Coturnix japonica: one gene and its partner. Each later gene encodes a partner of the first gene's protein in a complex. Links are inferred from orthologs where the notes say so. Each region holds a gene or a part of one and is shown on either strand. Other genes may lie near its edges.

Evidence for each region.
Region 2: the proteins of CAST (region 1) and CAPN2 are in contact, whole or in part, in a crystal structure (PDB 3BOW), measured with the Rattus norvegicus proteins. The link is inferred for Coturnix japonica from reciprocal best matches to the Homo sapiens genes CAST and CAPN2. Residues at the interface, in NP_445747.2 of Rattus norvegicus: Glu571, Leu572, Asp573, Ala575, Leu576, Asp577, Glu578, Leu579, Ser580, Ser582, Leu583, Gly584, Gln585, Arg586, Gln587, Pro588, Leu596, Asp597, Asp598, Lys599, Val600, Lys601, Glu602, Lys603, Ile604, Lys605, Ala606, Glu607, His608, Ser609; in NP_058812.1 of Rattus norvegicus: Glu62, Leu63, Ser68, Lys69, Gln99, Gly100, Ala101, Leu102, Gly103, Trp106, Lys161, Asp162, Leu165, Leu166, His169, Ser196, Gly197, Gly198, Thr200, Ser241, Asp243, Ile244, Thr245, Asp249, Ser250, Glu251, Ala252, Val253, Val259, Lys260.

The regions. Positions count from the first base shown.
Region 1 is NC_029547.1:50,813,075-50,817,135, reverse strand, and holds the start of CAST (calpastatin), read left to right. Parts: upstream 1-1,261; 5' UTR 1,262-1,276; coding exon 1,277-1,486; intron 1,487-1,617; exon of another isoform or gene 1,618-1,810; coding exon of another isoform or gene 1,811-1,840; intron 1,841-4,061.
Region 2 is NC_029518.1:15,399,702-15,403,814, reverse strand, and holds the start of CAPN2 (calpain-2 catalytic subunit), read left to right. Parts: upstream 1-1,313; 5' UTR 1,314-1,409; coding exon 1,410-1,805; intron 1,806-1,922; coding exon 1,923-1,992; intron 1,993-4,113. UniProt on the Homo sapiens protein: Calcium-regulated non-lysosomal thiol-protease which catalyzes limited proteolysis of substrates involved in cytoskeletal remodeling and signal transduction. Proteolytically cleaves MYOC at 'Arg-226'.

The DNA.
Region 1 (4,061 bases):
TGCTCCTCCCTGCAGCTATCCCATGCTGGAGGGCATCCACCACGCCTTCTAGGCCAGGCAGGGCTACCATGTTATGCACGGAGTGATGCAGGATGAGTTCTTCTGGAATATGTCCTTCTGTGTAGGTACACATGGTACACCTGAACAGGATTTCTGAGGGTCATTTCAAACCTCGTGCCTCATGCCTAACTTCCCACCAGAGAACTTAAAATTGACCTTGTGGTGGATCAGCAGAACCCTCAGCACTCTGCAGGATGCTGATCAGCATGAAGCTTTTCCTGTATTACTGCCTCATTTCTGTGTAACTCCAGGATTTCAGTCACTGACGGCTTCAGTTGCTGTCACAAGGCATGTGGCAATAGAAGGGGTGAAGCACACAAAGTTGCCTACGTGGAGTGCTGCGTCAGACAGGCCTTCTGCCTGCAGCTGAACGACTCTGTGCTGTTCTTCCCACCACAGTGAACTCGTGCTTAAAATTTTAGGCAGAGTGGAAAGCAAAACCCGTACGTGCTATTGAATCACTTCAAAGGCCAGTGATGAGTGCACCAAGTGCAGGAAGAGCAGGGAATGCCTCAGGCAGGGGATGTGCCTGACCTACCCAGCTTCTCTCCTGGAGGCTGAAGCCATTCTGAGGCCTCGCATACACCCACCCATCCAACAGCATCAACTGGGGCTGCTTCCCAGCGGCTGGCTTTGATCTGTGGCTGGGAAGGACTTTGTCCTCCTGCCTCAGGGAGTGTGGCTGGTAAGGGAAGGAGCATTCCCTGAAAACTTCTTGTTCCTCCTGTTGGTGTATGTGACCTCAGTACACACGTACGTGTCCAGAAACCAGTGCTGCTCTTATTAGCCTTATTACAGAGAATATCTGTTTTGATCGTGGTTACTCAGTCATGATTCAACTTCCAGCAGCTCTGTGTGACCACGACAACCTCTGCAGTATTTTGGAAGAGCTGTCATTACTGTTGTCAGTCAGGAGCTCAGTTCTGTGAGGACTCCACAGGTCGGGATATTTGGAAAGCTTTCTGACCACATATCCAGTGAGTGCTACTGACGGGAGCCTTAGCGCTGCGGGTCACGTATCAGTCCCGGGCTGAGGCCACGGGACGAGCAGTTTTGCGCTCAGGTCTGTCGGAATCCACAAGCCTTGCCAAAAGGCTGCGGAAAATAGGCCTTCCACGGGGGGAGACAGCAGTGAAACTGTCAGTAACTCCACTCGAAAGTTGGAAAGTGTCGACACTTCCCCCTCCCGCCCCCAAACCTTGACAACAGCCACACAATGCAAGCCGCTCCTGCATTGGAAGAACGAGCTGGGACGCCCTGCCCCGGTCCCCTCGGCCCCCCCCGGCCCGGCAGGAAGAGGAGGGACTGGCTGCGCGGCTCGGCAGCGTTCCTCGCTCCTCACCGCCGCCGGTCGCCCCCCGCCCGCAGCCGCTCCGTGCGCCATGTCCCAGCCGGGCTCGGGCCCCCCTGGCCCCGCCGCGGTAAGGTGGGCAGGGAGCGACGCGAACGCGGTGTGAGGCGGGCGGGGGGCACGGCAGCTGCACTGATGGACCCCGACCCTCCAGCTGCAATGCAGAGGAGCTGCCGAGCGGCAGCGTGAGCCCCCCCCCCCCCACCCCCTCGGCCAACCCCGACCTCCTGCCCGGACCGCAGCCCCGCCCGATGCGGGTCTCGGGGGCGGCTGGGGCGCGGTTCTGGCCGCTCCCTTGGCGGGTGCCGCCCCCGAAGGGAGGTGGCTGCTGGGGCGCGGCCCGTGCGTCTGTGTGCCCTGTATTGCCGTGCCGTGCAGTGCGGAGCAGCGAGCAGCACCATGGCTTTTGCACGCTGGTGGTATGCCACGGTAAATGTGAAATGCGGGGCTGCGGCTACGGATTGCGGAGGGCTCCGCACAGCGGCTGCGGGCGGGGTCGCCCGGCTGTGACACGAATGAGCGGGGAGGTGGGAGTGATGGGCGGCGGATGGGCGCTCTTCACGTGCTCGTGTTGTTGTGCGTCAGGTCCTGTGAAAGCCTGGCGTTTTCTGGATGTAGCTCCGAAATTCTGCTGTGTTCTTTGTTTAAGCGATGCTGGGACGTGGGCTCGTTTTGTGCTGACGGCTGTTTTCGTGATGCTCTGAATAATGCAAGCTCTAGAAGTGACTAAACTGTGCCATTCGATCAGAACTCAGCAATTGGTGATACGCAGTGTAAGGCAGAGCTTGCGGGGGTTTGTTTCTGCTTTGGGTGAAAATCCTGCGTTGTGCCTGTTTTTGGAAACGTGTGTTTAACTGCAGGTGGGTCGTGGAGCTGCCAGGAATAGTTTTGTCTCGCTGAACAGTCTCTGAGTAAACCTCAGCTCTCATGGCTCTCTGTGGTTCAGCTCAGCTTGGTTAATGCTCATTAGTCTGACAGGACCTGTAATTGCTTAGAAGTCGTCTGAATTATTAGTCATAGCAGGAAGCTGAAAAGTCTTTCAGAGGAGTGGCGAGAGGGAGCCTGCCCTCTGTTAAAGTTTTAGAGAAACTTTGTAAGAGGAGAGGCGTCTTTCAGAGAAATGACTGATTTAACATATTTCCTGAATAATTGCTGAGGTATATGGGATTCCCTCGATTTCTAATTGCACTTTCCATTGCTCAGAATAGCTCAGATGATGGATTAGTGGTGTTTTTGGAAGTAATTTGTTGTATTAAGCCAGTGATACGGCATGGTGACGATAATGCAGAGTCAGAAATAAGAAAGTTTGAGAACTGTTGCACTAAGTGATGATGGCCCTGTAGTCCTGGGCCATTGAATCCAGGGTTGGGAAAGATACTAAGACCACCTCGTTGCCCGCATTCACAGAGGGAAACCACTCCTCTTGAACTCTGTTGGAAAGCAATCTCTGCAGTTACTGGCACCAGCACATCTCTACTGGCCTTTGTGCAAGACCAGTGTCCTCGCCATCCATGTGAACATCTATCATTTACTGGGGCAGTTTCTTCCTGGAGGGCATCACGGTCTAATAGATGAGGGAGTGCAGCAGGAGAGAAGGAAGAAAGGAACAGGCATGAGAGATTCGGTGTTTTTTGTGTTAGGTGATGGTTTTTGTTGTTGCTGTTTCCCTAGGATATGTGCGCAAAGCATAATGCAAGGGCTGTAAGAAGAATCTGGCTTTCACCTATGCTCTCTCTGCACTTCCTTGACGCGTCTTTTATCTGTCAGTTCTTTGAGCAGCATCAAAAATCTCTGTCTTTTTCTCAATTTCGACTGAAATATGATGGTCAGATTCCTGTCAGTATAAAATGTTTGTCTTCATCATCATCAGCAGCAATGCAGTTAGTTGACTTAAGATGAGGCTGTTGCAGGCAGACTTCCCTTCTTACCCAGTTACTGAATGTTGTTGCTGACTGCTGAAATGCAGCATATTTGAACTGAGGGCCTGCTGCTGCTAGTGGAACTCCTGAGATTTAGAAAGAATGTCAAGGAGCAGGAGTTTCAGATGAAGTCTGATTTTTACAAGTGTAAGCTGAGGATGCAGTCGTACATTCTGTTATTAGTATTTTGAATCTGAAGGTAAATGTGCTGAAGCAATAGCGTCGAGATGTTTTTGTGCGTACGGAACAAATTGAAGATGATAAACTTTCTTGTTAATGATACTTTTACTGGGTGTTTTTTTTTTTCCCCCAGATGTTGTGATTGTGAGTGGTTTTGTTTGTTTTGTCTTTAGTGAAAAATATTTGCGGCCAATTTGATTTAAACAGGAAAGAGTTGAAAATAAGTTACGTTTTAAGTTTAACTAACTGAAAGTGTGTGCTGGCTCTTTTTGTGACATAGCTGGAGCTGCTTCAGCCATTGGTATGGGTATGTTGTTACCGTGTGCATACATTTCTTTGTCACTGTAAGAAAAGTGAGCAAGAAAAAGAGTAGAATGCCCAAAACAAAAGCAACCTCTCTCACCCACATGGGGACATAGAAGAGTGAGGCATGCATACCATCCCAGGAAAGCTCAGTTGAGTTTCTTGTTAAGCAAATTGATTAATTTATTTAAATCTGAAGACTCGGCACTTGGAAATGCAAAGCAAAAGGGAGCTGATGAAGGTTGATT
Region 2 (4,113 bases), on another chromosome or scaffold:
TACAGTGGGGCTGGCCCAGGGGATGAGGAGCTGGGAAGAGCATTTCACAAGATGGCTGAGACCTTGCCAATACCCCTCACTGCCTTGGCTGGGCTTCGTGCTGGTGAGGAAACCTCCAGCCCCAAAGGGGAAAGCAAATCCCTTTGTTGTGTAACACCACCAGTGCTGCCAGCCTTCTCCTTTAGGAAGCCATCTCCATCTGGGGATGCTCTTGGGGAGGAGAGCAGCACGGCCCCCTGCTCCACTCCCTGGACCATTGGGCAGACTTTATCTTCCATCCCCACAATATCTGTGTGTTGTGTAGGGCAGAAAGAGTATCAGGAAGGCAAATGAAAAGAGAATCATGGAATCATTTGGGTTGGAAGGGACCCCAAAGTTCATCTGGTCCAACTGCCCTGCAATGAATGGCAACAGCTACAGCTCAGTCAGGTTCTCAGAGCCCTGTCCAGCCTGACCTAGAGTGTTTCCAGGGATGGGGCACCCACCATCTCTCTGGGCAACTTGTGTCAGTGCCTCACCACTCTCATTTGTTAAGAACTTCTTCCTTATACCAAATCTAAATCTCCCATCTTTTGGTTTGAAACCATTTCCCCTTGTCCTATCACAACAGTCCCTGCTAATGAGTCTGTCTCCTTCTATCTTATAGCCCCCCTTTAGAAGGGAGACAGATGCTGTGAGGTGTGTGGAGAGGCCCTCTTTTCTAGGCTAGTGAAAACCACTGCTTTAAACTGACATTAGTTTCCTTCTGTTGTGGCTGTTGAAAATGAGGTTAGTCTGATCTGTGGCGGCTGTACAGCTCTGATCCACTGTGTGGAGCCAAACCAGTGCCTTTGGAGCAGCTCTGTGGTTACGTGGCTCCCCGCAGCTTACATTACAGGGCTAAGACGGTGTTAATGAAAGGTTTCTCCCACTGATCAGCTGAAAATGTTTTTATTGCTTTTATTGCACCCAGTGCTGCTCACACACGTTGTCTGCAGACCCTTCACCGTCTTTGTTGCTCACTTTTGGATGCCCTATGACACAGTGATGTCTGTCTTATGTTGTGGCATAAGACCCAGTGCAGGAGGAGAGGCCGTGCAGCTCAGAGCAGTGGGACAAGCCCTCCCCTCCATCCAGCTGGAGGCATCCAGGCTGTGACTGGCCTCTGGGGGCTCCAGGGCACACTAGGAGTTCAGTCTAAACTAGGAGTTCAGTCCAACAGGACGGCTCCAAACGAGCCCTACGTGCTCTCAGAGCCCGGGATCCGCTGCCCCAAAAGCGGTGCCTCCCCGTTCCGCCGTGCAGTGCAGTGAGTCAGCCACGAAGCACGGCACCAACAGCCCGAGCTCTCGCAGTGCGGACAGCCCTCCCGTAGCGATGCCAGCGGCGCCGGGGCAGGATAGGCGGCACGGGGGGCTCCGCACGGACAGATGCCATCCTCGGACACGTGCGGGGCTTTGCTTCCCTGCAACCCCACGAGGGATTTTTGGTCGGGATGGGCCTCGCCGTTCCCCTCCCACGACCCGCGGGGTGCGACACGCCCGGGGCGGCCCCGTGACGGAGAGGCGTGTCTGCGGGGCGGCGGGGCGATGGCGGGGATGGCGGCGGCGCTGGCGAAGGAGCGAGCGGCGGCGGCGGGTGCGGGGCGGCACGAGCAGGCGGTGCCGTACCTGGGGCAGAACTTCGGGGCGCTGCGCAGGGAGTGCCTGCAGGACGGCCGCCTCTTCCAGGACCCCTCCTTCCCCGCCTGCCCCGCCGCTCTCGGTTATCGCGAGCTGGGGCCCAACTCGTACAAAACGAAGGGCGTCGTCTGGCTTAGACCTACGGTAGGTGCCCAGCTCGGGGTGCCCGAGATGCGCGGTGCACTCCGGCTCCATCCCCGCCGTTGTGTCTCTCTCGGCTCCCTCCTCCTCCTCTCGTAACTCGGGCTCGTTCTGTTCCAGGAGCTGTGTTCCTCCCCCCGGTTCATCTCCGGCGGAGCCACGCGCACCGACATCTGCCAAGGAGCGCTGGGTAAGCGCTGCGCCGTGCGGGTTCGCACTGTGCTGTACCCTCCCTTTCCCATCGTTTCGCCCCGTGTCATGTTGGAGCAGGAAGGATGCGGGCAGGTTTTCCATTTCCCGATTGCTGCCTGCCTTTGTGCGCTCCTCAGCCTGACTCACGGTTGCCGTTAGCAGCACGGCAGCGCATAAAGGATGTGCATGTTTTGGAGCGGGCCCAGAGGAGGATGCTCAGAGAACTGGAGCCCCGTTGCCATAGCTGAGCAGTCAGATGTTCTCCTCAGGTTATGTGGTACCTCCAAAGAGTATGAACTGAGTCACAGCCTGTATTCCTTTCCCTACCGAAACAATATTTGAATAGGAGGCTGTTAGCATTCAGGTTTGTTCTCAGCATGACTAACTGCTGCTGTGACTGGCCTCCCTATCTTCTTACCAATCTGTGTGAGGGAGTTGTCTTCTCTGTATCTTACTGATGAACTAATTCAATGCTATGGGGTTTTCCTCTGTAGCCGCTGAGTTACTAAGACCCTGCTTTGAATCTATGTTCTTTCTCACAGATGTTCTATGTAAATGCTTCTTTTCTTTGCTTTTGCCTCTTCTGACACTCAGCTTTGCACTGAGAGATTTACCTAAGCTTCCATTTACTTGAACTTCACTTGCTAACACTGATGTCACATCATGTTTTGTGAGGTTCCAAAGAACATTGCACTAGAATACATCAGGTGCTCTTGGAAATCTGCATTTTATATTACTGTATTGCTGTTTGTCCATAGAAAACTAGTGGCCTATTTATCACCCAAAAAGCTTGATCAGAAAGCAACAGGCCTGTGCCCACGCAGAGTTTTACAACTGGTGCTCACCCATTTGGAGTATCTTAGAGTACGTATCCAAAGCACATGCACCTGTCACTGCTGGGACACACTTCTTGGCATGAATCTCTAGCACAGAAAAGCTCACTGGGTTCTCAGGACAACAAAGCTCTTCCCTTTTGGCTTTGGGTTAGCCATTATTCTGCTTTACAATTGTTATTCAGAAGCTTTTTAGGACAAGTATTCAGAATCAATTTTGCAGTATCAGGTCTGCAGTTAATTATGGGCTTTGGTCCAGAGCTGCAGCAAATGGGATGTGGTGATTCATCACAGCAGAAGAACCAAAGCAAATACAGAGGAAGTTATTCACCCTTAACCACATTCTTTGGAGGGATGTCACCATGGTATCACAACACTGAGGTGTACAGGGCGCAGTATCTTTTATACGCTGTTTAATCACAGATGTATCCTCCTTGAATACAGAGTTGTGGAAAAGTGATAAAGTGAGTAGGATGAATGTAGAAAATGAGATGCATGGTTTTCCCACGCTGAAAACCACTCTGTTATGAGTGAGTTGGCACAGCCTCTTGTCTCCAACCAGAAAATTTCTGGGGGGGTCCCACATTATTAATATAAATACATTCAGCCACTGACATAGTTGGTTAGCCCAGCCTGGCTGTCAGCCCTTTCAAATATTCCCTATACAGAACCTATACAAGCCTGAGATGCCAGACCTGCTTTGTGCACATCTGCAAAGCCTTGCAGGGAGGGGGGATGTGTGTCAGCACTGCTCAGATGGGCAGGCTGTGGGCAGTCCAGCAGGGATGGAAAGGGAAGGGTGGGTGCTCTGTGGGACAGCGAGCTTCCTGCACACCCCTGCCACCATGACCAGCTTCTGAGAGAGAATCTTTGTTTTACTGTGTTGGTTTAGTTGGCTGCTTATAAAGTCTGGAAATGAAAGCTCACATACGGCCAAACCAAATGTACAGTCCTACAGATAAACTCAGTCTTTTGACTCTGTGATCAATGATAGGTTATTTGGCCTATGTGCTGATGCCTGATAACCCACCAGCCTGTGATTTTTGCACGTCTCATGCCTGATGCTAGTGTTAAGGGTGCTTTGAGATTGTTTGTTAGAAATTAAACATGACCCTAGTGGTCTTTTCCTACCATAATGATTCTATGATTCTCCTAAGGAGGAGTTCTGAAATGCCATTTCTTCCTATGGGTTGCAGGAGTCAGGGGGTCGCTGGGTCCTTACATCTGTAACCACTTAGTTAATGAGCTTAACTGGAAAGTGACCACTCTGTTAAAACAACATTTGT